Alligator mississippiensis: one gene and its partners. The protein of the gene in region 3 binds, or shares a complex with, the protein of the main gene of each other region. Links are inferred from orthologs where the notes say so. Each region holds a gene or a part of one and is shown on either strand. Other genes may lie near its edges.

Region 1 (7,599 bases), on a different chromosome or scaffold from region 3:
ATGTCCCCCCACCCCCAGGAGATGTGAAGCCATGTCCCCGCCCCTCCCCCCCTCAGAGTTCGCCCTTCTCAAAGCACAGGGAATGGACCCAGGCATCTGGGGACCTCTCCCTCTGGCTCCCAGAGGGGACCCAGACATCCAGGCTGCCTCCTCTGTGCCCCCTGGGGAACCCAGGTGTCCAGGTGGGGGATCTCACCCTGCTGCAGGATGTAGCCGTCGTGCACCGGGATGGCGGTGGTATGGGTGGCGCCACTGTCCAGCACCAGCCCCGTGCTGCGCCCATTGGCAAAGCTGACCCCTGAGTCAAGGCTTGGACACCTGGGTTCTCTGCCTGCCCTGGGCAGGAGTGGACCTGGATGCTTGTGTTCTCTGCTGGGCCCAGGGGGGCATGGGGGGAGGCTGTCTGGGATACATGCTGAGCTCATGGTGCGGGGGTGGGGCTGGGGCCCCTGGAGGGGAGGTCCTGGACTGGAACCCAGGTGTCCTGGTGTTCCACTCCCTTCCTCCATAGAGTATGTTGTGACCAGGAGGGTCTGGGGAGACATACTTGGGGAGCACAGCAGGGGGGACATTGAGGGATATGCAGTGAGGATGGTGGTCGTACAGAGGAAGGTAGGGTCCCAAGGGTTTGGGGGTATCCCAGGGGGTGGTCTGGGTGAATCCCAGGGGGATACAAGGTGAGCATGGCAGGGGTTCTGGGGGGCTATGAGGGGTCCCAGGGGGTGTCCCAGGGGTGGGGGGGATATGCAGTGAGCACGACGGTCTTGCAGAGGAAGAAGAGAGAGTCTGGGGGTGGTGGTCTCCAGGGGGTTGGATACGCGGTGAGTACAGCGGTCTTGCAGAGGAAGAAAGCCGGGATGTTGTAGTGCTCGAACATCAGCTCCGTCAGCTTCTCCCGCTTGGCCCGCGTGTTCCACTACGGGGACATGGGCCGCTTGCTAGGGCAATGGGGGGGGTCTAGTTGCCATGGGGATGGGGGGGTGACCTGGTTGCCATGGGGCATGCAGGGCCTGGTTGCTATAGGACATGCAGGGGTGTCCGATTGCTATGGAGATGGGATCCTGTTGCTACAGGATAGGCAAGTGGCCGAGTTACTATGGAGAGAGGGATATTGTTGCTATGGGACATGTAGGGGGTCTGGGTGCTATGGAGATGCACACCCTTGTTGCTATGGGGATCAGAGCCCCTATTGTTGTGGAGATGGGAGCTGTGTTTGCTATGGGACAGGCAGGGGGTCGGGTTCCTATGGAGCCCAGATTCCAGTTGCTATGGAACAGGTGGGGGGGGGTCCAGTTACTTGGAGATGGGAGCCCAGTTGCTATGGTACATGCAGGGCCTGGTCGCTATGAAGATAGGGGCCCAGTTGCTATGGGACACGCAGGGCCTGGTTGCCATGGGCACACACAGATGGGGACAGTGGTAGCCGGGGGCACATGCTGTTGCCATGGGGAAGATGGGGTGGTGGTTTCTGGATGGGGGGAGGGGGAACACACAGTTGCCATGGGGAGGACATGGAGCAGTTGCCGGGGGCAGTTGCTGCGACGATGGGCACGTACCGGCGCCTCGGACATGAGCACCGGGTGCAGGCCAGGCTCCGACTTGATGTGCTTGCTGTAGGTGTGGTCCAGGATGGCCTGGAAGCACTCCCAGTCCTCCACTGGGGGGCAGGGAGCAGGGTCAGCTGACTGGCCCTGCCCCCTGCACCACAAGGTGCAGCACCGGGTGTCAGGGAGTGTGGCCACAGGGTAGGGGTGGGGGTGGGGCCTCTGCCCCCCTGCTATTATGGGTGGGGGCATGGCCTAGGATGTAGGGGGTGTGGTCAGAGCCAGGGGCGTGGCTTGTTCTGTAGGGGGCAGGGCTGGTTTGGGCATGGTCAGAGCCTAGGGGGTGGGGCATGGGTTGTGGGGGTGGGGTGTACAGGTGTGGCCAGAGCCAAGGGGGTGTGGCTGGGTTTAGCCATGGCTAGACCCAAGGGGGTGTGGCCAGTCCTGTAGGGAGGCAGGGCTAGGTACGGGTGTGACCAGAGCCAAGGGGGTGTGACCTGGGCCTAGGAGGGCATAGCCTGGCTCCTGCCCAGGGCAGCCACCTATGGGGGTGGGGCCTGGCGGCCTGGGGACAGGGCCAGGGCTCACCCATGCCGTTCTTGAGAGGGGAGAGGACCTCGGCAGCCTCGCGGGGCACATGCAGTGCATTGGTGTCGATGTAGTAGGCCTTGCCACCCTTCTTGTCCTTGTCGCCGTCCAGCTCCAGCACTGCCTCCTCGTGCGACTGCAGCCCCACGCTGGTGGGGAAGTCCGCCTGGGGCGGGGGTCAGCACAGTGCCCCAGCCCTGATCCTGGCTCCAATCCCCGATCTGATCCCCGAGCCTGGCCCCCATTTCCCACTCCCAGCCCCTGGGCCCAATCATGAACCCCAATCCCCAATCCTGGACCCCAGCCCCATCCCAGCCTCTGATCCCAGATCCCAGCCCCATAGACCCCACCCCAGCCCCCCAGTTCCGATCCTGACCCCCAAGCCCGGATCCTGGCCCCATGCTAGATGCAGAGCATGCAACATCCCTCAGAGGGCCCAACCCGGGATGGGGAGGGGGCTTCACCTTCAAACCTACTCCCCACCCCACAGCCCAGAGGCCCTGATCCAGGACTCGCGTACCTTGGGGCAGTCCTCGCCTGCATAGCCGGCTCGGACCGAGAAGGAGCCGATGTCAAAGACCAGTGCCCCGACTTCATCTGGGGAGAAGACAGCACGTGAGACCCCTCCCCATGCAGCTGTGCCTGGGGGGGGGGGGGGGGGGCCGGACTGGGTAGAATGACAGAATGCCTCGGTTCTCGATAGGGGGTCCCGGGCCCCTGGGTTGTCTCTCGCGGGGGGTCCCGGGTCCCTGCATTCTCTATGGGGCCCGGACGGGTGCCCCCCCCGCACCTCCCCCATAGACGCCTCCGCTCATCCTGGCTCGGCAGCAGGTCCCAGCGGCGCGGCTGGTTCAGCACCGCGGCGACGGACAGCGTCCGGGGGGGCGGGGGAGGAAGAGCGGCCGCAGCCAATCCCAGGGCCGTCCCCTCCCGGCGCAGCTCCCGATTGGCTGGCCGGGCAGACAATGAGTGACAATTGAGCTGCTTCTTAAAGGGGCAGGCGGGAGATTTTTTTTGAGCTGGGGCGGACGACTGGGTTCTCCCCGAGCTCCCGGGAGCACGTGCATGGGATGCAGGCTGGAACGGGGCAGGGCTAGGGTATGGGATGGAGGCGCGGCTAATTATGCAAATCACAGCACGGGGGAGGCGGGGCTAGGGGTGGTGAGGTGAAGGGGTGCCTTAGCCTGGACTGCACCACAGCTGTGCTGGGGGGGTTATTTCTTTCTCAGGCTGGGTGTGGTGGGGCGTGATTTGGTATCGCCCTGCTTCCCCTCTCATGAAAGCAGTTGGTTTCTCCCACGTTCCCCCACCTAGTTAGTCTGGTCCATCCTAGTCCCCTCCCACCACCACCCCCGCTAGGAATGTGTTGGCCTCTCCCGTTCTCCCCCCCTCCCCGAACAGAGAGTTGGTATCACCCTCCCCCCCTTATCTTGGGTTTGGTGTTTCTCATTCCACCCCACTTGGTATCACCTATCCCCCCATGCCCAGTGAGTTGTTCCCTCCCACTCCGCCCCTCAGCACCAAGAGAGTTGATATCACCCACCCCTACACCCTGTGAAGTGGTCTCTCCCACTCCCACCTCCCCCGCCATTGAGACAGTTGGTATCACCCACCCCTCTACCTGTTCCCTCCATAGCTACTGTATTGGTCTCTCCCATCTCCTCCCACCGCAGTCAGAGTTGGTATCACCCACCCCTTCTCCCGCTATAGGGAATTGGTCTCTTCAACTCCCCCTACACCGAGACTTGGTATCACCCACCTCCTCCCCCCAGATCCAGTGACTTGGTCTCTCCGAGCCCTCCCCCCACCCTCAGTTGTGCTGGGCGCCCTCGAGCGAGTCCTCCACGCCATAGAAGGCTGGACCTGAGTGAGTCCTCTGCACCATAGAGGCGGGAGGTAGACAGTCTTCCGAACCATAGAGTCCCACCTCCTAGACCGGCCCCTAGCGAGTCCTCTACGTTAGAGAGGGCTGAGACCTAGTCAGTCCTCCGCACCAGAGGCTGGGGCTAGAGAGTCCCCAGCGAGTCCTCCACGCCAGCTAGGGCCGCGGCCCGGAGAGGCGCGTGGTTAGAGCGTCCCCCGCCCCCTGCCACCACCTCTACGCGCTTCCGGCGCGGCCCCGTTTCCGCTTCCGCCGCGCGCGCTGCGGTCGCCTCGCGCCGAGCGGAGCCAGTGTCACCCCAGGCCCCCCTCAACCCCTGAGGTGCGGGGGGGCGCTGGGCTTCTGGGGAGGGGTTTCCATGGAAACGGGGGTGGGCTTGCCATAGCAACGGGAGGGGGGCGCCTTAGCGGGTGGGGGCTTTAGGGGGTGTGGGGGTCGCCATGGCAACGAAGGGTGTGGGAGGGGTCTGGGGTATCCATGGCAACAGTTGCTTGGGGTGATGGGGGACTGGACCCCCGGAGCAGCCGCTGATATCTCCCTTCCCCAGGCATTAGCGATGGGAGACAGCGACGATGAGTACGACCGGCGGCGCCGCGACAAGTTCCGGCGTGAGCGCAGCGATTACGACCGCTCGCGGGAGCGCGACGACCGGCGGCGCGATGACTGGAACGACCGGTGGGGGCCAGGCCGGGACGCCCGGCTGGGGGGGGTGACAGGGCCGGGATGCGCCCAGCTCTGGGGTAGAGCACAGCCAGGTGTAACAGCACCAGGGATGTAGCCAGCTCTAGGGTGGGAAGAGCAGGGAGGTATAGCAAGCGGGGTTAAAGTGCAGCTGGCTCAGGGAGAGGGAGAGGGCCAGGCTAGGTAGAACAAGCCTGGATGCACCCAGCCCTGGGGAGGGGGTATGTGGGGACAGCAGAGGGAGATGTTGCCCCCGTGCCTTTAATTCCTTCCCCTAATCTGGCAGGGATTGGGACCGTGGGCGGGAGCGCCGCAGCCGGGGCGAGTACCGAGACTATGACCGGAACCGGCGGGAGCGCTTCTCCCCGCCCCGCCATGAGCTCAGCCCCCCACAGAAGCGCATGCGCCGGGACTGGTGAGTCCAACCCCCTCATCCCTCCCCACGCCCCCCCCCATGGGTTGACCGCTTCTGACACCCCTGTTTCTCCCTGCAGGGATGAGCACAGCGGGGACCCCTACCACAGCGGCTACGAGATGCCCTACAGCGGGGGGGGCGCCGGGCCAGCCTACGGCCCCCCCCAGCCCTGGGCACACCCTGACATGCATGTCATGCAGCATCACATCTTGCCTATCCAGGCAAGGTAAGTGTGTGCCCTTTGTCCTCTAACCTCCCAACTCCCATCTGCCCTGTCCTCAGCTTCTACCCCGACATCTCTGCCCCCCCCACTAGGCTGGGGAACATCGCGGAGGTGGACCTGGGCATGGCGCCACCTGTGATGAAGAGCTTCAAGGAGTTCCTGCTGTCCCTGGACGACTCGGTGGATGAGACGGAGGCTGTGAAGCGCTACAATGATTACAAGCTGGATTTCCGGCGCCAGCAGATGCAGGACTTCTTCCTGGCCCACAAGGATGAGGAATGGTACGTCCCGCCCCCCCTGGAGTCCCGGTCCCCATGTAGGAGTGAGAAGTGGTGTGTTTCCTTCCATACCATAGTGAGGAATAGTACGTCTTGGTCCCCCACAAGTATCAGGAATGGTTTTTTTCTTATCCTCGTACAAGAATGAGGAATGGCATGTCCCATCCCGTCCGCCCGCCCCCCCCGCCCCGAATGAGGAATGGTGCATCCTATTCACCCCCTAAGAATAAGGAGTGGCATGTCATTCCCCCCCCAAGAGTGGAGAATGGTATGCCCCATTCTCCCCCCCACCAAGAGTGGGGAGTTACTGTACATCCTGTCATGTCCCCCCCTCATCAGAAATGGTATTTCCCATTCCTCCCTTCCCCAGGAACAAGCAGTGCTGTGTCCTATTTCTCAGAGATCTGAGGAATGGCACGTTTTATTTCTGCTGAGGATGAAGAATGGTATGTCCCATTTCTCATCAGGATGAGCAATGGTACATCTCATTTCTCTCAAAGATGAAGAATCATGTGTGTGTGCCCCCACACAGCTGCCCCACCCCTGAAGAATGAGGAATGGTGCAGACCACCCACAGCTCTATTCTCTTCACCCCCATCCCCCCCAGGGTTCGGTATGGGACCTGGGAACCAGCAGCGGGGTGAAACTGGTCCCAATTAAGGGCAGGAGATTGGGGGTGGGGCCAGTGCTCCCCTTCCCCAATGTACAGCCCGGCCCCTGCTGTGTTCTTTGGCTCCTTCCATGCCGGACTCCTGGGTTCCTTCTACTCTCGCAGCCCCACCGCCCAGTCTCCCCAGTAACAGACAGGCCCTGGGGACTGTCTCCAGACTGGTCCCAGTATAGATCTCAGTGTAAACCCCAACTCCGAGGTAGCCACATTATAGCACCCGCGTCCTGTTCCACCCAGCCTGGCCTCCCAGAGCTGGGCGCATCCAGGCCTGCTCTACCCATCCATGCCCCTCTGGGCGTACCTGGGCCTGTTACACCCAGCCTGACACCCTCCCCACCCCCCGAGCTATGCATATCCTGTCCTGTTCTACCCAGCCTGGTTCTCCCAGAGCTGGGTGCATCCAAGCCTGTTCCACCTATCCACGCCCCTCCCCAGAACAAGCTGCATCTCCCATTGCTCCGAGGGGGGCCCTGTTACACCCTGAGAACCCAGGCGTCCTGCAAGCTGACAGCCCCCTCCTTAAAAAAACCAAACAAACCACAAACTCCAATCTATACCTGAAACCCCAATTCTTGCATTTTTCCCTTTAAATTCTTCTCCCTTTGTTAGCTTTTGACTTTTTTCTCTTAACGAGTCCGTCTCCGTTCCATTGTGGATGTTAATTATAACTCACCCTTCTTTTCCCCCCCCCCCCACGTCCTCCTCCACCCGGTTCCCAGCCAGAAAGGAGAGAAGCCAATTAAGCTGCCCGCCTGCGGAGAGACCAAAAATAGCCGTTTTTTTTTCCATTATTTTCTTTTTTCCGGTGCCAATCCCGGTGCTTTCGGCGCTACCGACTCCCGGCGGCTGCCTCCCCATCCGGGCCCTCGTTAGCCAGACAGCCAGGGCCCGCCCACCACGCACAATGTGGTGCCTTAGAACTACGTAAAAGTCGGCAGGAATTAGACAGAGAGGCCGGGAAATTTGCCCAAAAACCCGGCATTTCGGGGTCTTTTTTTATTTTCCTTTGCGTGTTTGGTTTTTTTTTTGTTTTTTTTTTCCCGGATGGGGTCTTTTTTTTTTTTTTTTTTGTCTCCTGGAGTCGCCGGGAAGGAGGAAACCAGCCCAAAAGCCCCTGAAACTGGGGGCTTTTTGGAGTCGTTTTTGGGTTTTTTTGTGTTTCTGGTCCTCTTTCGCAACCCACCGGAAAAAAAAAGCCAGCGGCCCCGGGCTGGAGTCGGAGCCACGTGTATGTATGACCCGCGTCGTTCTCTCGCTGCGTTCGCTCCGGCCTGTCTCCGGCGAGCGTTTTTGAGTCGGGATGTGCTCGTCCGCAAGC
Region 2 (7,908 bases), on a different chromosome or scaffold from region 3:
AGGCTGTTTTCACTGGTGGTCAATGATAGAACAAGGAGCAACGGTCTCAAGTTCCAGCAAGGGAAGTTTAGGTTAGATATTAGGAAAATTTCTCTCACTAGTGTTCTAGTAAAACACTGGAACAGGTTATCAGAGAGGTGGTAGAATCTCCAACCTTGGAAGTGTGTACCTCCCAGGTTACAGAAGTTTTATAAACCCGATTAGACAAAGCTTTGGCTAGGATGATCTAGTTGGGGATGGTCCTGCTTTGAACAGGGGGCTGGACTAGATGAAGTCCCTTCTAACCCTAATTTTCTATGATTCTATGAATCAAATACATTTTGAATTATATACTGCTACCCATCCCTGCAGGGCTGGGGACTTGCACAAAGTGCTGCAATTATCTAGCAGTTACTAGGATGTTTTTTTAAACTATAAAAGCTTATGACTCCTCATTCCAAAATAATGATAAGATGTATTGTCATGATACATGAGAAGTTCAGAGATAGTTTTACAACTCTGATAAGCTAAAAACCAAAACATACAGTTAATGCAACTAAGAGTAAAATCACAACTGCTATGTAATATCTAGTCCCAGAATCACAAAAACAAACAGACAAACAAAGGATTTGGGCCACAATACAGGTAAATTTGGTTGCATTCTCAAGCTACATCATTCTCACTTGAAAATTAGGACTGAGTGCAAATTGGATCACTCAAGGAGTCTTCTCTTTTTGTCCCTGGTCTGAATTTATTAACATCACTATTGACTGAAATTATTAGGCATCCAGCAACTACTGAGTTTACTATGAAACATATTGCTGGATCCTGCCAAAATGTTAATGGCAAGGTGTCACTATTACAAAAAAAATATTTCCAGTGTCACCCATGCTCTTTTCACTTTAACAATGTATTTTTCTGTTATATAATCTACAGTTTATATAAGGTGAAGTAGTGACATAGCTATGTTCATGTTTATTCCAGTGAACAATTCATTACAAGTAAACAAACAAGATGAATGAGCATGAGGTTGGATTCACTAAGGCTAAGATAAAGAAAAATAAAAGGCCAGGCAGGGGAAAGGAAGAAGGGTGTGTATATGATCAATAATTTACCAGATTTACCAGAGTACAACCAGCACCTCGAAAAGCCAGTCTCCTCATTGTGTCCAATGGTCAGGTTAAAGTACTAAGAGATGGCAAGTCTTTGAAAATGTCAAATCAGCAATTGCATTAATAGCCAAAGCTGAAAGAGAAGAAAAATGAGAGAAAAAACAGAAGAGGGGAAAGGTTAAAAGGAGAGAGTAGAGAGAAAAAGAATTTAAGAATAACAGTTGAGAAAAGCCATCACAAAGGCTGGAGAAAAGAGGAAACATAAATTTGGAGGGGGTTATCAAAAACTAAAGGTTTTCTGCATACGCAAAGCATATACATTTCTGGAACTTTTAACTAAAATGTTTAAATGCTACTATAATGTGAGCCATTCACTAGCCCGAGTAATGCAAGTATCACTTCATCTAGTAGCCTAAGTGTAAGAGGGAGTAAGTGGAAACTGTAAGTTGATGGTACTATAAAAAAGTAGTACAGTGACAGTAAAAAGAAGAAAAAAAAAGTCTTACAACCCTAAGTTACTAGGCAGACTTGTAGCAATGACCCACACCATCAAGACTCTCCGGAAATTGCTGATTCTACTTTATTAAGCCTTAATTTAACCCCCGTTCAAAAACCTTCAGCTATATCCCTATTGCATGACAGATTTTCAACATATCATACCATGAAATAATGAGCTTGATTAAACACAGATCTACTAAAATCAAAAGTGTATCAAGTCCAGCATGGAAAATATTAATCTATACAGTTTTGTCAGCAGTGAATACCTGTTCTAAAACTGTTCTTCTAAAAAAACTGTATTCAAAGAACCAAAAAGAATAAAATGATTTTTACTCATCTAGTATGTAGTACTTTATCATTTGGAATCAAAATATTTCATGTATCCTTGAATAATGCACCAAGTACTAGTGTATCTCCACTAGAAAATTGGTCCTTATATGAAGCAAAGGATCTTGAGGACTATAAAATAATCTGATGGGATTCAAGTACAGCATCTCCACACCACTTATACAATACTAGTAAATCCTAGCCATTATATTTTTTTAAACTTCTTTAAAAGGTTAGGCACCTGAAGACCCCACCTACAGGCAGTCACTGAAGAAAATTTCTCTTCCTAATACTAAAACATAATTTCTTCTAACAATATCTGAGGATGTAATATTCTGATGTACTCCATTAAGGTCCCACACATCTATTATCAAAAGTAATCCCCATGTAAGAATACTGTTTCTACACATCTTTAAAATATTTTTAAAAGGAGCTGAAAAGTGTTTTTTAAAAGTCTAAATTTTTACGTACCCTTCAGAGTAGCTAATCAAAGCATGTATATAGATGCCACAAAAACTATTTTTGAAAGTTCCCTGGATTTCTATAAAACCATTCAACAGATAGTTGACAAACACAACAAAATGATGGGGAGAGAATGTACCATATACTGTCCTGCAGCATTACTGACAAGACTAAAACTGTGTTGTAACCTGGGAAAGCATGTCAGAGGGTTGTTTCAGAGGATAAAGCAGGAAAGAAGTTAGCTAGGCCGCACAGTTGTCTCCTCAGCCTTGGAGAAAGAAGTGTACAAGACAGATAACAAGTACACAAAACAGAGGCTTGTCCCAGTTTAATTCTTCTCCTACCAAACGCTGCAGGACTCTGTTGCTCCCGTGGCAGGTTCCGGCAGCAGCGGCACTACTGTGACAAGACGGAACAAACTTTGAAGGGAAGCGCCGCTTCCCTGGGGCCACGCACGTCTTCGGGGCCTTGCACAGCCGTGGCAAGTGCGCTCTACCCTGCTGCCCGCCCCGACCCCGCGCATCGCCAGAGTGCACCGGACCCCTCACATCGCCGGAGACGTCAAGGCGTCGCGGCCGGTCCCTTCCCAGCCCCCGGCTGTCACCTGCGCTAGCGGCAGCAGAGCCCGCCTGCCCATCCCGGGGCCACCGACAGCAAACCGCGTGACAGCACCGGGCATCGAGGCTCCCGGCGGCGGCGGGGCTTCTCCCTGCGCTGACAGCCCCCGCCACCGCCCCGGCCGGAGCAGGAGCCTCGTGGAAGCACTGCGGCAACGCGTCTCCCGCGGGGGAATCGCCCCTCAAGACACGGGGCCAGCCCGGCGCGGCCGGCAGCGGGGGGCCCTCGGCAGTCCCGTGGCGCGGGGCGGGGGGTCGCCGCGCGAGGGCGGGCACCGCCGCCGCCACGAGCGGGCAGGGCGGCCACACAAAGGGAAGCAGAGGCCTCCCGGCTACCGGGCCCAGCCTCGCCCCGCCCCGCCCCGTCCCGCCCCGCCTCGGCGCACCACCTCACCGCTCACTCCCTCACCCACCCAGGCAGCTCCGCTCTGCCGCCCGCTACTGCGGCCGCACTCGCCCACCGCTGCCGCCCTGCCGGCACAGCCGCTGTCGCCCCTCACCACCGACCCTGCCGCTGCCGTAAAGCCCGCCCGGCCGCCGAGCGAGCCCGCCAGCGCGACAACCCGTGCAGCGCCTAGGGGCGGGACGCGGAAGGGGCGGGCGGTGCGCTTTACGGCAGAGCCGCCAGGTTCGGCTCCGCCGCCTGCACGCGGGGTGAGCGCGCGGCAGCAGCCATGAAGAGGCCTAGTGAGTGCGGGGCGCTGGCGCCGCCTGGCCGCGCGGCCCGGGAACGGGAGTGGGAGCGGGAGCGAGGCTGTGGCAGGGGCCAGCGACTGGGGGCCGTGGCCGTGGGAGGTTCGGGCGGGGCCGGGACTGGGGCGCGCGGTAGTGGGGGCCGGGCCAGGCCGGGCGGTCGCGATCAATCGGAGGCTGTAGCAACGTGGGGCCGGGACTCCGTGCCCAAGACCTGTGGCCGAGGCCCGGCCACACTCGGGCGCCCGTGGCCCGCGACATCATCGGGTGCTGATAGGCGGCGGCCTTCGTCTGCCCTCTGTTAATGGCGTGTCCTGATTGCAGAGCTTCGGAAGGGCAGCAAGCGCCTGACCTGCCACAAGCGGTACAAGATCCAGAGGAAGGTGGGTCACCAAGCGGGAGCGGTCGGATTCAAGGGACCAGTTTCTGCCCCAAGCACAGCATAGGCAGGCGGGAGGGGGAAGGCAAGCAGGAAAGCTCAGGCCAGGTCTTCGCTGCCCGGCTTCCCGAGGGCTTTGGGCTGCAAAGCACTACGTGGAGCCTCATTGTGTTCAGCTACATCGAAGTCCTGAACAGACTTGTTGCATTTGCAGGGGAGGGCTGTACACTGTTCAGCACTCACCTACACGTTCCCCAGCTGGGGCCCCGTAGTGCAGCTCCTAGTTCTTTCACACCGCACATGTTCATGGTTCCACTGTTTGTCTAGGGCAGTGGGGCTCAGTAGGGCTGTCCAAAATTTCAACTGGTGTTTTATTTTGAAGCTGTTTCGGCGCCTTTTAGCTTGGGACAGTGAAATCGAAATGAAACAACAGGCTTTGAAATGAAATGAGGGCACCCAAAATGTTTCAAGTTTCAAAGCAGCCCAGTGGCGGGAGGTGGGGGAGAGCTAGGGCTGTACTCCGAGCAGCTCCGCAAGCCCCACGAAGCTCAGCCCAGCAGCAGGAGAGCCAGTGGTGGAGCTGCTCTGAGCGCAGCCTTTGTTCTGAGCGCAGCCCTGGCCAGTGGCTCTCCCCTCCTTCCCGCTGCTAGGCTCAACTCTGTGGGGCTGCAGAGCCTCTTGCTGCCAGGCTACGCTCAGAGCGTCTCTGCCACTGGATCTCCCTGCCTCCTGCTGCCAGGCTGCACTTTGAGTGGCTCCACCAGCTCCATGGAGCTCAACCTGCTCTCTCAGCGCTGCCAGACTCCTTCCAGGGGTCTGGACCCCCAGATCTGAGGTATTTCTAATGTGCTGCGTTATCAAGAGCTCTAACATAGGGCTGTCTTCTAAGTAGCAGAGGGTTTCAGACCTTGCACCAGCACAAGCAATAGGCTGCATGCTGTGGGGGGGGAAATGCTGGCATGGCATTTTTTTTGGCTGATAAAGTCACTGATAAATTCTGTGTTTATGGCATGCATGGGGCTAGGAATACAGCCCAGCAGCTTAGAGAGCAGCCTCCTGCTGGTAAGCCTGGGTGGGGAAGGAAATTGAGGCTCCCAGGGTGAGGGAGGGATGGGGCAGGTGCTGCCCCATCCAGGGTGGTGAATGCAACCCTGGGGCATGTGGTGGAGCCACGCACTGCCATTCCAGAGGGCGGGGGGGATGGCTTCCTGCCGCTGTGCTCACCCTTGGGAAAGGCATGGGGGCATGTGCTGCCCCAGATTTGTATGCAGGGCGAGGGCAGGCTGCCCACTGCAGGCTTGGAGCCAGAGCTGCACTGGGGTGGGGTGGGGTGGGGTGGGCTCAGCTGTGGGGGTACAGGTAGCAGCACTGAGAGTGGACTTTGGGGACTATGGCCATCCCCAAATTCCCCATAGCCACCCTTCCCAGCACTGCTGCTGCCTGCCCCGCACAGCTGAGCCCACCCCACCCCCACCTACCCCAAGTGGAGCCCTGGCCCAGCCTCCACCTTGGGGAAGAGGCTGGTGCAGATGCTGAACCCTAGTGCACAGCGGGCAGCCCATCTTCACCCCCTGCACAAATCTCGGGGGGCACATGCCCCTCATGCCTCCCCCTAGGGGTGCGCACAGTGGCAGGGGGGAGTCCCTGCTCTGCACCCCCTAGATGAGCTACCCACGGCTCTGCCTCGCCCTGGGGTTGCATCCGCCACCCTGGGTGGGCAGCACCTGACCCATCCCTCCCTCACCCTGGGGGCCTTGATTTCTCCCCCCCCCCCCCCCCCCAACCTACCAACAGGATGCTGCTCTCCAAGCTTCAGGGCTGCATTCCTGGCCCAGTACTTGACATGCACGCAGCATTTATTGGTGGTATTATGGGCCAAAAAAAAGCTGAAGGCTGATAATGTTATTTTTTCTGTTATCAGTGCTGATCCAATATGCGACTGATATATCAGTGCACCTCTAGTCTTTACCTCCTTGCAGAGGGGCTGGGACATGGGGGTGGGATAATTACTTAGATCGGCATTAGCCTGAGCCTGAGTTAATCTACCTAGTTTATCTTATCATGAGGGAATGCTCAGAGGATCTGGCAGTACTCCAGGGTGTCCCATCGCCCTGGCTGAGAATCATTGCAGTAGAGGTTATTTTAAGTGGATATGGGAGTCTGAACGGTGCTTGAAAATTGCCTTCAAGTATATTGTAAAGAACAGATCTTCATTGGGAGGGGCAGTGGCACAGATGATGTAATACTGTAGATCTTTTGAATTTTAAGTTTGTAATACTTAGGATTCATTAATTTAGCTATAGCTACATGCGTGTTGATTTTGCAATTAAAAATCTTTCTCTGGCCACATACTTATATGTAGGCATTTAGCTTTTCCTATTAAACTGAATTCCAATATATATTCTTTCTTGATTACAGGTACGGGAACACAAGAGAAAACTCAGGAAAGAAGCCAAGAAGCGTGGAAACAAAAAGCCCCGAAAAGATCCAGGGGTTCCCAGTGCTGCACCATTCAAGGAGGAAGTTCTTCGTGAAGCTGAACAAAGGAAACAAAGGGTAACATAGTTTAATTTATAGTGAAGTGAAAGGGGGTATGAAGACAGCCTCACTTTCAGGGGAACTTGGTGCATGTCATCCTTCACTTTACATAGCCTTAATAGCCATTTACTTGGATGGGGGTGTTTAATCTAGTACCCAGTGCTGTCCACAGCCTGATCCCAGTGATTGGGTAGGGACCTGTGTCCTGGACTTTGGGGTTTCCCCATGCCGGATCTCTGTGCTCAGCTGAGTATTGGGATCTTTCATGTATCAACCCCAACATGCCACACTTTCACTTTAAGGTGTGATACAAACAAGCCACAAAGATATTATATATGGAATATCTTTGTGTCTTATTTGCTATATTAATATCCCATAAATCGGCTTTAACATATGTACTGTTTATGGCACAATTAACATCTTAATCATGTCCTAAATGTAGTGTATGCCAGGGCCCCAAGATCTCTTTCCTGTATTGTAACATTTAATGTAGATCCCTAGTTATAGGTTGCATATTATGGTAATTAATTTCACAATTTCAGATTTGAGCTCCTTCAGGATGCTAGGGTGAATGTTGTCAAGTCCTAGTGATTTGTTACTGTTTGGTTTATCAATCTCCTTTAAAAGCTCGCCTTGTACCTCTGTTTGGATCAGTTCTGCTGACTTGTCTGTTGGGAGAAATGGCTCTGGTGAGGGATCTCTCTAACATCTTCATAATAAAGTTCTGTTGCAAAGAACTAATTTAGTACAAGTGCTAAAATTCATGCAAATTAAATTAATAACATTCCAAGTTGAGTTTTCAACCTCTTTTTAACAAATGTACCCCTTCTGCCTCAAAGTTTCACCTTGTACCCCTTTATTTTTTTTCTTGTTTTTAAGGAGGTGGGGCAGATTGAGACCTCAGTGGTGGGGGAGGGAGTGGGGCAGGGCACAGGACTGAGCCTCAGTCAGTGGGGGGCAGCTCCAGCCACTACATGCATGGAGGGCATGGGGTGATGTGCCTCCAGATCTGCACGTGGGGCGAAGGTGGGCCACTGCAGGCTGGGGCCAGGACAGTGCCGGGTTCTTCCCGGTCAGGGGCTGCACTCAGGATGGGCAGTGGCGGTGCTGGGAGGGGACTACGGGAGGGGCTGCAGCCACTCCAGAATTCTCTGTAGGCCCCCGCCCCCCAATCCTTCCCCATGCTGCCCTGGCTCCAGCCCGCAGCTCACCCTCACCCCACATGCAGATCTGGGGGCACACGGCCCCTATGCCCTCTGGGGGTGCTCATAGTGGTGGGAGCTGCACCCCTCTGTCCTGCATT
Region 3 (7,744 bases):
TTGCAGGCCACATCTCGGAGGGTAAGGAGGTGAGTGCTGGTTGTAGGAAACTAACGCAGCTGTTGCTTGCACCCCTTGCTGATGTGAGCCCAATGGGGCTCCGTGTCCCAGACTGGCAGCAGGTCCATGAATTTCTGGGATGCTGTTTGTTCAGGGAGTGCTGAACAGCTGATGTCTTCTACAGAGCACACCCACTGGGACAGGGTGACTTCCTGCAGGGCACAACCCGGTGGCACAATATTCCTTCCCCTTCTCTGGATCTCCAGTGCCACTGATCCAGCGGTTAAAATGTCATGAGAATTTAACCAAATTCACAAATAAATAAATACATTTTTAAAAAAGTATTTATTTCCCTCTCTACCATTTCTTCCCTTCTCTTACTAAACCTAACAGTGTAATCGTTATAAGGGGGAGCCCCCATTCCCAGTCCAGGCGTGCAATTGGTTCAAGTTACAAATTCAACCGTAGATGTAGATGCCTGATAGATGGGGGTGGAAGGCTTGGGATTCCCTAAAGCCACTGAATGAGGCCTCTGAAAGGTCAGAGTTTCTCTTTGTTTTCTTTGTAATTGCATTGTGGAACTCATTGCCATCAGATGTTGTAGAAGCTGTCAGTTTAGCCTGATTCAAGAAAGGGGTGGGACAAATTCTTGGAGGAAATATGCATCAGTAGCTATTGAGCACAGAAGTTAGGGGTACAGCCTCTGAATCAACTGCCTAGACCTTAAATGCTGGGGACTGCAAGTGAGAGAAGTGGCAAAAAACCCTGGTCATCCCCAGTTCACTCTCCCTTTCACTGTCTACTCTTGGCCACTGTCTGACACACAATACTGGGCAAGATGGACCTATGGTTTACCCAGTAAATGGCAGATCTTATGTAGAGGGCTTATAGGAATCTGTGCAGTGAGGAATGAACAGGGGGCTGCTTATACTGACACTGTAACTCTCATCCAGTCCCGTTATTAGACACTGGCCACTTTCCAGGCTCAGGCTCAGGAAACAAGCAGTTTTACAAATGGAAGATGCTAAGAGCCCTATTTCCTGCTGCCTATGCATCAGCGCAGGGATTGTCATTTTATGCATTTCATTCAGGGATGCCTCATTCAAAGAGGGCCCAGTTCTGACCAGGGGCCTGCAGGCAGTCCCACAATACAAATACTAACAATACTTCCATTCCCTGGCTGTGAAGGGTGACCACAGCTGCGACACCATCTTAGCTCATTCCCTCAAACCTCAGTGAACTGACACACACAAGACACCTTGCATAGCAGTAATGATCTATTGTGTTTATGCTGGACACTTGCCCTCCTCTCAGAGGTAGACAGGCAGGCTTTTTTGCTTCTCAGCCCAGACACACAGCTGGGTGGTGAAGGGCTTCATTCACTGTCACGAGGCAAGAGGAGCAGGAGAAACCAAATAGGGAGGATGCTGACTGAGTATGGGTGGATATTCCTTACCCCGTGGGGCACCTCCAGGGGCGTGGAGGTGTAGGTGGATCTAGAAGGGTGAGGCAGCGTGAAAAGCAGAAGCAACAGAGCAGGTGGTAGCTGTAAGTAGCAGAGGGTTGGGAACTGCGTAGCTCCCCTGTGTTCTGCTGCTGCCAGGGTGCCTCAGGGGGTGTGACTGGCAAGAAGCACTGCACAGTGAAGTAATCAACAGTGGCAATAACAAACAATTATAGTGATTGTTGTTATCATCTTCACTCGCTGCTCTTATTCTAATGAGGGCCACAAGGAGCATGAATTAATAGCCATAAGGCAGTTAAAATACATGTGAGACTTAGATGCTAATTTTAATAATGATAATGCTAGTAATGAACAGTTAATAAGTCTAATATGAATGATAACAACAACACCCATCCCTGCATGAGTCCCTGCGGAAGCTGAAGCAACCAGGCTGGCCTGTAGTAGGACAAAGAGGTGAACAGGACCCATGTCCTAGGGGAGACATGGGGTGGCACTGGCTTAGGTTGCTCCAGTGGGGGTCAACCTTTTTGACAGGTGTGCTACAAGTTACCCTGACACCCTCCCCAAGTACCACTCTGCTTCCCTCCATCTTTCTGATCTGCTGCTCTGCTTTCTGCTGCCCACCTTGTGCTCCCTGCCTGAACTGCTGCTCTGTTTTCTGCAGTCTGTTGTTGCGCTGCCTGCCTTTTCCCTGATCTGCTGTGTACCATGTACAGAGGCTACCTGTGCTGCTTGCAGTACATGTGCTGCAAGTTGGCCACGCCGGCCATCTACCCTCGTCTCAAGCAAGGGTCTAATTCAGCATCTCCTGGACTCTTATCTTCCATCCTTGCTGTGGCAGTAGGGACCCACAGGCTGCTGTAGTGAGTACCAAAAGAGATGAGAGAGCAGCACATGGTTCTAATGACTAGTGTGGGCAATACAGCCCCACAGTTCAGGGCATCCATTGATTGCAAGCCAGCTCCTCTTCTCTCACAACATACAAACTAATTGGCTTAGTAGCACTGTGAATTTGCCCTGTGTGCTGAAGAGTTGGGGGCAGGGATGGACCATCAGCCTTCAGAGACTACAGATCTTGGATGCAAAGTCTGTGTGTGGAGCCCTCAGAAATGCCAACTCAAATGAACCTGGAGTCTCGGTGATTCCATGACTTCCACCCAAACCTGCAAACTCTCCAGGAACATGGAGGAGACTGGTAGCATGACTTGGCTCCTGAATGGGCTTGGAGAAGAAAACAAAGCAGACCTCATTCCCTCAATTGCTCCCACCTTTTTGCTTTCCTTTGGAAAGTCTCCTGAGGTGGGGGGTGAGGAAGGTAGCATGGAGCCTTTGTTCCTCTGGACATTTTTAAAAGATTCATAGATGTTAGGGTCGGAAGGGACCTTAATAGATTGAGTCTGACCCCCTGCATAGGCAGGAAAGAGTGCTGGGTTTAGATGACCCCAGCTAGATGCCTATCTAACCTCCTCTTGAAGACCCCCAGGGTAGGGGAGAGCGCCACCTCCCTTGGGAGCCCATTCCAGACTTTGGCCACTCTAACTGTGAAGTTCTTCCTAATGTCTAGTCTAAGGGAGATGTCTAAAGGGAGATGTCTAGCCCCTCACATCTCTTTTTGTGATATTTTTAAAGGTACAATGACACTGTAGTTAGGCCACTAACCTAGTACTCAGGGGGCCTGGATTCCAGTTCCTGGTCTGCCACAGATTGCCTGTGTGACCCCAAGCAAGTTGCCTAGCCTTCCTGTCCCTCCGTTCCCTTTCTGCACACTGGGAACAAGTGTCTGAGTCTCCCTCACAGGGGTTTTGGGAAGATAAGTGTATTAAACTTTCTGGATAGAATGGGGCATAGCTATATCCCATTCTATATAATCAAATATAATTATATATATTTAAATAATAGTAGTAATAAAGATATTCAGATCGACACTGGGAACACAGGAGTGCTGGAAAGCAATGGTGTTTGGTGAGGCTTTAGTTACTTGGTCAGGCTCAGAGATGCTGGGTGTTCTTCCTGTGGTCACTGAGGAGAGTGGGGGCGGCAAGAGCAAGGAAGAAGAGGACAGGTCTGTGTGGTGCAGCCTCGTGACTGCCAGTCCTAGCTGGTTGCTGATGGATGGTTCTCTCCAGTGGATAGAATTGCTTTGCTTGAGGTGACTGAGCAAACAACGTAGGAGGCAGAAGACAAGATGCTCCTCTTATACGGCCACATTGTGGTAAAATCACAGAAAAGCTTCCTCTCCACAGCACAGCCACTGGATGAAACACCGATAGCCACAGGAACAAAAGTGCGACAGTCACAACTAGTGACAGCCCTGGAGGGACTTAGGATGAACATCAACACGGCCCAACATCTCCCTGCAGGCGCCAAGCTCCATTGGCCGGCACGGGAAGTTTGAACCGCCTCCGAACAGGGTCAAGTTACCAGGCCTATTTGTCATCCTTCAGGGGCGTGGGCCAGGCCCAGGACGCCGGACAGCACCCACAGACCCTCAAAAGCGCCCAAGGAGCTAGTGGACACTGCCCAGTGATACTCTGCTCAGGGACGGGAGCGAAGTAGGGCGAGGAACGCGGCCCTGCTAAAGTTACCAGGCAGTTGGGAGGGAATTTTTTTTTTTTTAATACTACATTTCGTGTTCCAGGTCAAATACCCCGGACCCGTTCCGAGTCACCTGGACTGGGCAGAACGCAATCCTCCCGAAACCGCATGGCCGGAGCAGGCAGAACTCAGTCCCTCTCCTCACCCCCAGGCATGGTGGCAGCCTGCCGCCATCCTCCTCCCGGCCGCCCACCCCGGGGCCCTGGCGGGCGTCCTCCCCGCCCCACCGCCTGGACTCGGCGCCCCGGGGGCTACGGGCCAGCGCCCTCCCCGCCCGATTCTCAAGTCCGGGACCTCAGCCCACCAGAGGTCGAGAAGCAAGACTGCAAACACCGGGCGCCAACACGGAGGAAACGTCCAGACTCGAGAAGGCGAAGCCGCGGGCTGAACACGGCGGGGCTGGGCGCAGGCGGGAGGCAGGGAGGGAAGCGAACGAGTCCGCACAGGAGCGGGCCAAGACTGCGGGGAGGAGCTCGCCGGGCTGTGACGACACAGGCGGGGGCGGGGCCGGGCGCCTGGGGGCGGGGCTCGCTGACGCGCAGGTCGAGGGGCGGGGCTCCCGGGGCAGGCCGGGGGCGTGGTCCCCGTGGGGGCGGGGCCTGTCGCCGCGCGGTGTCTGGCCCTGGGCGCCGCCGCCGCCGCCGCCGCTCGCGGGGAGCCGCGCCGAGCACTAGCAGCGGGGCGGGGCCGGGCCATGGCGATGTCCGGTCGCGGCGCCTTCCCGCTCAGCCCCCTGCCCCCCGGCGGCGCCGCGGCCCCCCCGCCCGGCCCCGGGCCCGGCCTCCTGCGGGGGCCCAGCCCGGCCCCCGCGCCCGCCACCCCCGGCTACCGCTCCCTGGGCCCCGCCGCCCAGTACCAGGTCAGTGCGCGTCTGGCGTGGCGGGTGCGCGGGGCGGGGGTGCGCGCCCGCCCCCTGGCGGGCACTTGGTGAAGCCCCGCAACAGCTATGGCCCCCCTCGCCCCCGCCCCGGCTTGGCTCAGGCCCCTCTGTCAGGACCCCCGCGCCTGCCCGCCCCGCCACATGTCAGCCGCCCGGCCTGCGCCCTGCCCCCGGCACCCTGGGGAGACGCAGGAAGACCACGCATGTGGGGAGCGGGTGCCCGCGAGCAGCCCCATGGCGGCAGCGCTCTTGAGCGAGATGGGCTGCCGCTCGCTCGGGGACTCGCTCTTGCGGTCGCGGGGAGCTGCTGTCAGCCGGGTGGTGGGTAGTTGATAGGCTGGTTCGATGACCTGCGCGGTCTCCAAGCAGGAGCCTTCGTGGGTTTTGACACTGCTAAGTCCTGGGGCCTGATGCCTTTGTGCCCTGAGCTAGGCGCAACGCTGCAGCGCTGCAGGTTGGGGCGCGGCTGGCGGGAGGGCTCCTGTTCAGCTGCTGCACCCTAAAACGTATCGGAAAGCTGAGCCAGTGCCACTCCAAAAGCCCAGGTGTGACGCTATGCGTGTGTGCTGCCACGATGCTTGGCTTAAAAAAGCGCAGGTGCCAGCTTGATCAGTAGGTTGCTTTGCACGCAGCATGTTGTTCTAATTTAAGTGACAAAGGCCTGGATCTGGCAACAGAGTCTTCCTCCAAAAAATGTGTTGCACGCCTTGTTCCAGATGGAAAAAGCAGCTCATAAACATACTTTCCTGCCTGTTCATCCAGAAGTAGCCAGGGGCTAACTGAAAGTAGAGCAGGCTTTGTAACTCAGCGCTAACATGGACCAGGTGGGCCTCTGTTATGGCAGCTTAATTCCAGGTCGCCTCATCCAGCTTCTGTCCTTCCACACGCAATCATCTGGCAGAAGTAGAGAAGCAAGCCCATGGCAGCAAGACTTATCTATAACTCTGCTCTCAAGCCCAGAAGCTTGTGGGCGGAGATCCCTTAGGAGTGGAGGCTATCATCCCTATTACCAGAAATTATTCCTGCTTGTTAAAACTGTTGTTGCAGCCCTGACACTGGAAGAGATTTGTCTGTGCTGTCCTCAGAGAGCGTGCCAGGGGACTCCCAGCGGAGTGCCCCCGCTCTCTCAAGGATTCCTGTGTCTGAGGACTTGCGCTCACCTTCTTTCTGAATTTGGCTGAGATCCTTTTTAAATGTCTCCGGGGATGTGTGGGTGGGGTGTTTCCTTGCAGGAGGTGTCAGCTTGAGAAGGGATCTCCGTTTTGGAGTGGATGAACTGGAGACGGTAACTTCAACTTGAAAAGTAACAGCAGAAGCTTAGTGGCTTCCTTAGAAGCTGGAGTTTCTAAAGGTCCTCCTGGCGCTGGAGACTGCGTTATGTGTCTGGAGCTGATAAAGCTCCTCAGCAGAGGCAGGGTAGTTGCTTTCACTGGGTTCAAGGGGGTGTGTGTATGTGGGAATGTGCTTGAATTCAGCCCGCCAAAGTGAGGGAATTTAACCAGAATGCTAGGGTTGTCACGATGTCTTCTAAGGATCTCAAAGCACTTCTGTACTGCCAAGGTGAGAATTGTTCCCACTGTACAGATGAGCTACCCAGTGCACCATTAAGATTTACGTGTTCCAGTGTCAGTCATTTTGCATGCCCAGCTCAAAACCTGGAACCTGATTACCAGGGAACCTGGGCAGTTGCAGCTCTCACTGACTTTCTTCTTAGTACTTTGCAAATCCAGTGTTGGCATTTCCAGTGGCAGACCAGGAAATGGAGGCATTCGCAGGTGGTGACTGCTTGAATGGGCTTGTCTCCATTGCTTGGCTAAGGTTGGATAGTGTACTGTTTGCAGATCTGGGAATGCGACACTGACTCCATTTCCCTCCAGAGTTGGGCCTCCAATATTTCCTCAAGATGGCAACTCTGCTCATGGTGTTATGGGATCTGGGGCATCAGTCAAGAATTTCATTCAATAGAAATCTTCTTGAATGTGATCAGGAAATTAAAAAAAAAAAAAAAAAAAAAGTCCAGATACTGTTGAAGTCTGTTTCCAGTTCACCCTTTGCATTAGCCATCTTTTCATTGTTCTCCATTGCTTTTATTGCTTGAAGTCCAGGGAAGTGCTGTTAGTAGTTGAATGTTAATGCACACATGTTGTGTCAGTGTCAGCAGCCCACAGTGATTGCCTGGATCTGCCGTATACACCCAACAGGAACTGTTGTGCACGGCTCCCTATCAGCACAGCGGCAAGATTCACTTGGAGGTCACGGGACTTGCCTTCTGTTTGGGCGAAAACAAACCCACTCGGGAGATAATTGAGCACAGATCACACTCTAAGCAAAGGTGGTGTGTTCTACTTAACATTTTCCATTTCCTCTCTTCTTGTCCCTTTTATAGCAGCTCCCAAGTCAATAGTTATATGTGTGTTTTGCCATTGTGACATTTACCAGAGAGCGGGTTGACTGGGAATGGAAAAGGAGAGGAGGTTCCCACTTAGACCTTGAATACAGCCTCACTGTTGGCCCTGGGAGTGGAACTGGCCAAAGCAGAGCTGCTGGAGAACCAGTGAAGCAGTCCTCTGTTGTCTAGCACTTGCAGTATGAGGAGTATAAATGTTTTAATTGATGCTCTTACTTTCTCCTTCCCCCTCCCCTGCAAAGCTAGTCAGGTTGCCAGACTCCTGCATGCTGGCAGGATTAGCTTTGAACAAGCCGAAGCATTGCTTGCAGCCTTCTCTACCAGGCAAGGCTTGAAATGGAGGAGAGTGATAATTCAGCAGGCTCTCCAGCTAGCTGCCCTGGCTCATCTCTATTCC

What was found.
Region 1: SMARCD2 (region 3) and ACTL6B share a complex: the UniProt entries of both Homo sapiens proteins name them as parts of the BAF complex. The link is inferred for Alligator mississippiensis from reciprocal best matches to the Homo sapiens genes SMARCD2 and ACTL6B.
Region 2: SMARCD2 (region 3) and PBRM1 share a complex: the UniProt entries of both Homo sapiens proteins name them as parts of the SWI/SNF-B (PBAF) chromatin remodeling complex. The link is inferred for Alligator mississippiensis from reciprocal best matches to the Homo sapiens genes SMARCD2 and PBRM1.

What each region holds. Positions count from the first base shown.
Region 1 is NC_081838.1:23,998,265-24,005,863, reverse strand, and holds the start of ACTL6B (actin-like protein 6B), read right to left. Parts: upstream 3,030-7,599; 5' UTR 2,948-3,029; coding exon 2,923-2,947; intron 2,730-2,922; coding exon 2,653-2,729; intron 2,299-2,652; coding exon 2,133-2,298; intron 1,658-2,132; coding exon 1,557-1,657; intron 917-1,556; coding exon 819-916; intron 292-818; coding exon 197-291; intron 1-196. Other genes in the region: SRRT (serrate RNA effector molecule homolog), read left to right, coding at 4,571-4,689, 4,982-5,110, 5,190-5,336, 5,426-5,614. UniProt on the Homo sapiens protein: Involved in transcriptional activation and repression of select genes by chromatin remodeling (alteration of DNA-nucleosome topology).
Region 2 is NC_081835.1:38,675,162-38,683,069, reverse strand, and holds the start of PBRM1 (protein polybromo-1), read right to left. Parts: upstream 3,085-7,908; 5' UTR 3,058-3,084; coding exon 2,983-3,057; intron 2,778-2,982; exon of another isoform or gene 2,723-2,777; intron 1-2,722. Other genes in the region: GNL3 (guanine nucleotide-binding protein-like 3), read left to right, coding at 3,670-3,682, 4,013-4,071, 6,486-6,623. UniProt on the Homo sapiens protein: Involved in transcriptional activation and repression of select genes by chromatin remodeling (alteration of DNA-nucleosome topology). Required for the stability of the SWI/SNF chromatin remodeling complex SWI/SNF-B (PBAF).
Region 3 is NC_081827.1:170,136,505-170,144,248, reverse strand, and holds the start of SMARCD2 (SWI/SNF-related matrix-associated actin-dependent regulator of chromatin subfamily D member 2), read left to right. Parts: upstream 1-4,688; 5' UTR 4,689-4,754; coding exon 4,755-4,919; intron 4,920-7,744. UniProt on the Homo sapiens protein: Involved in transcriptional activation and repression of select genes by chromatin remodeling (alteration of DNA-nucleosome topology).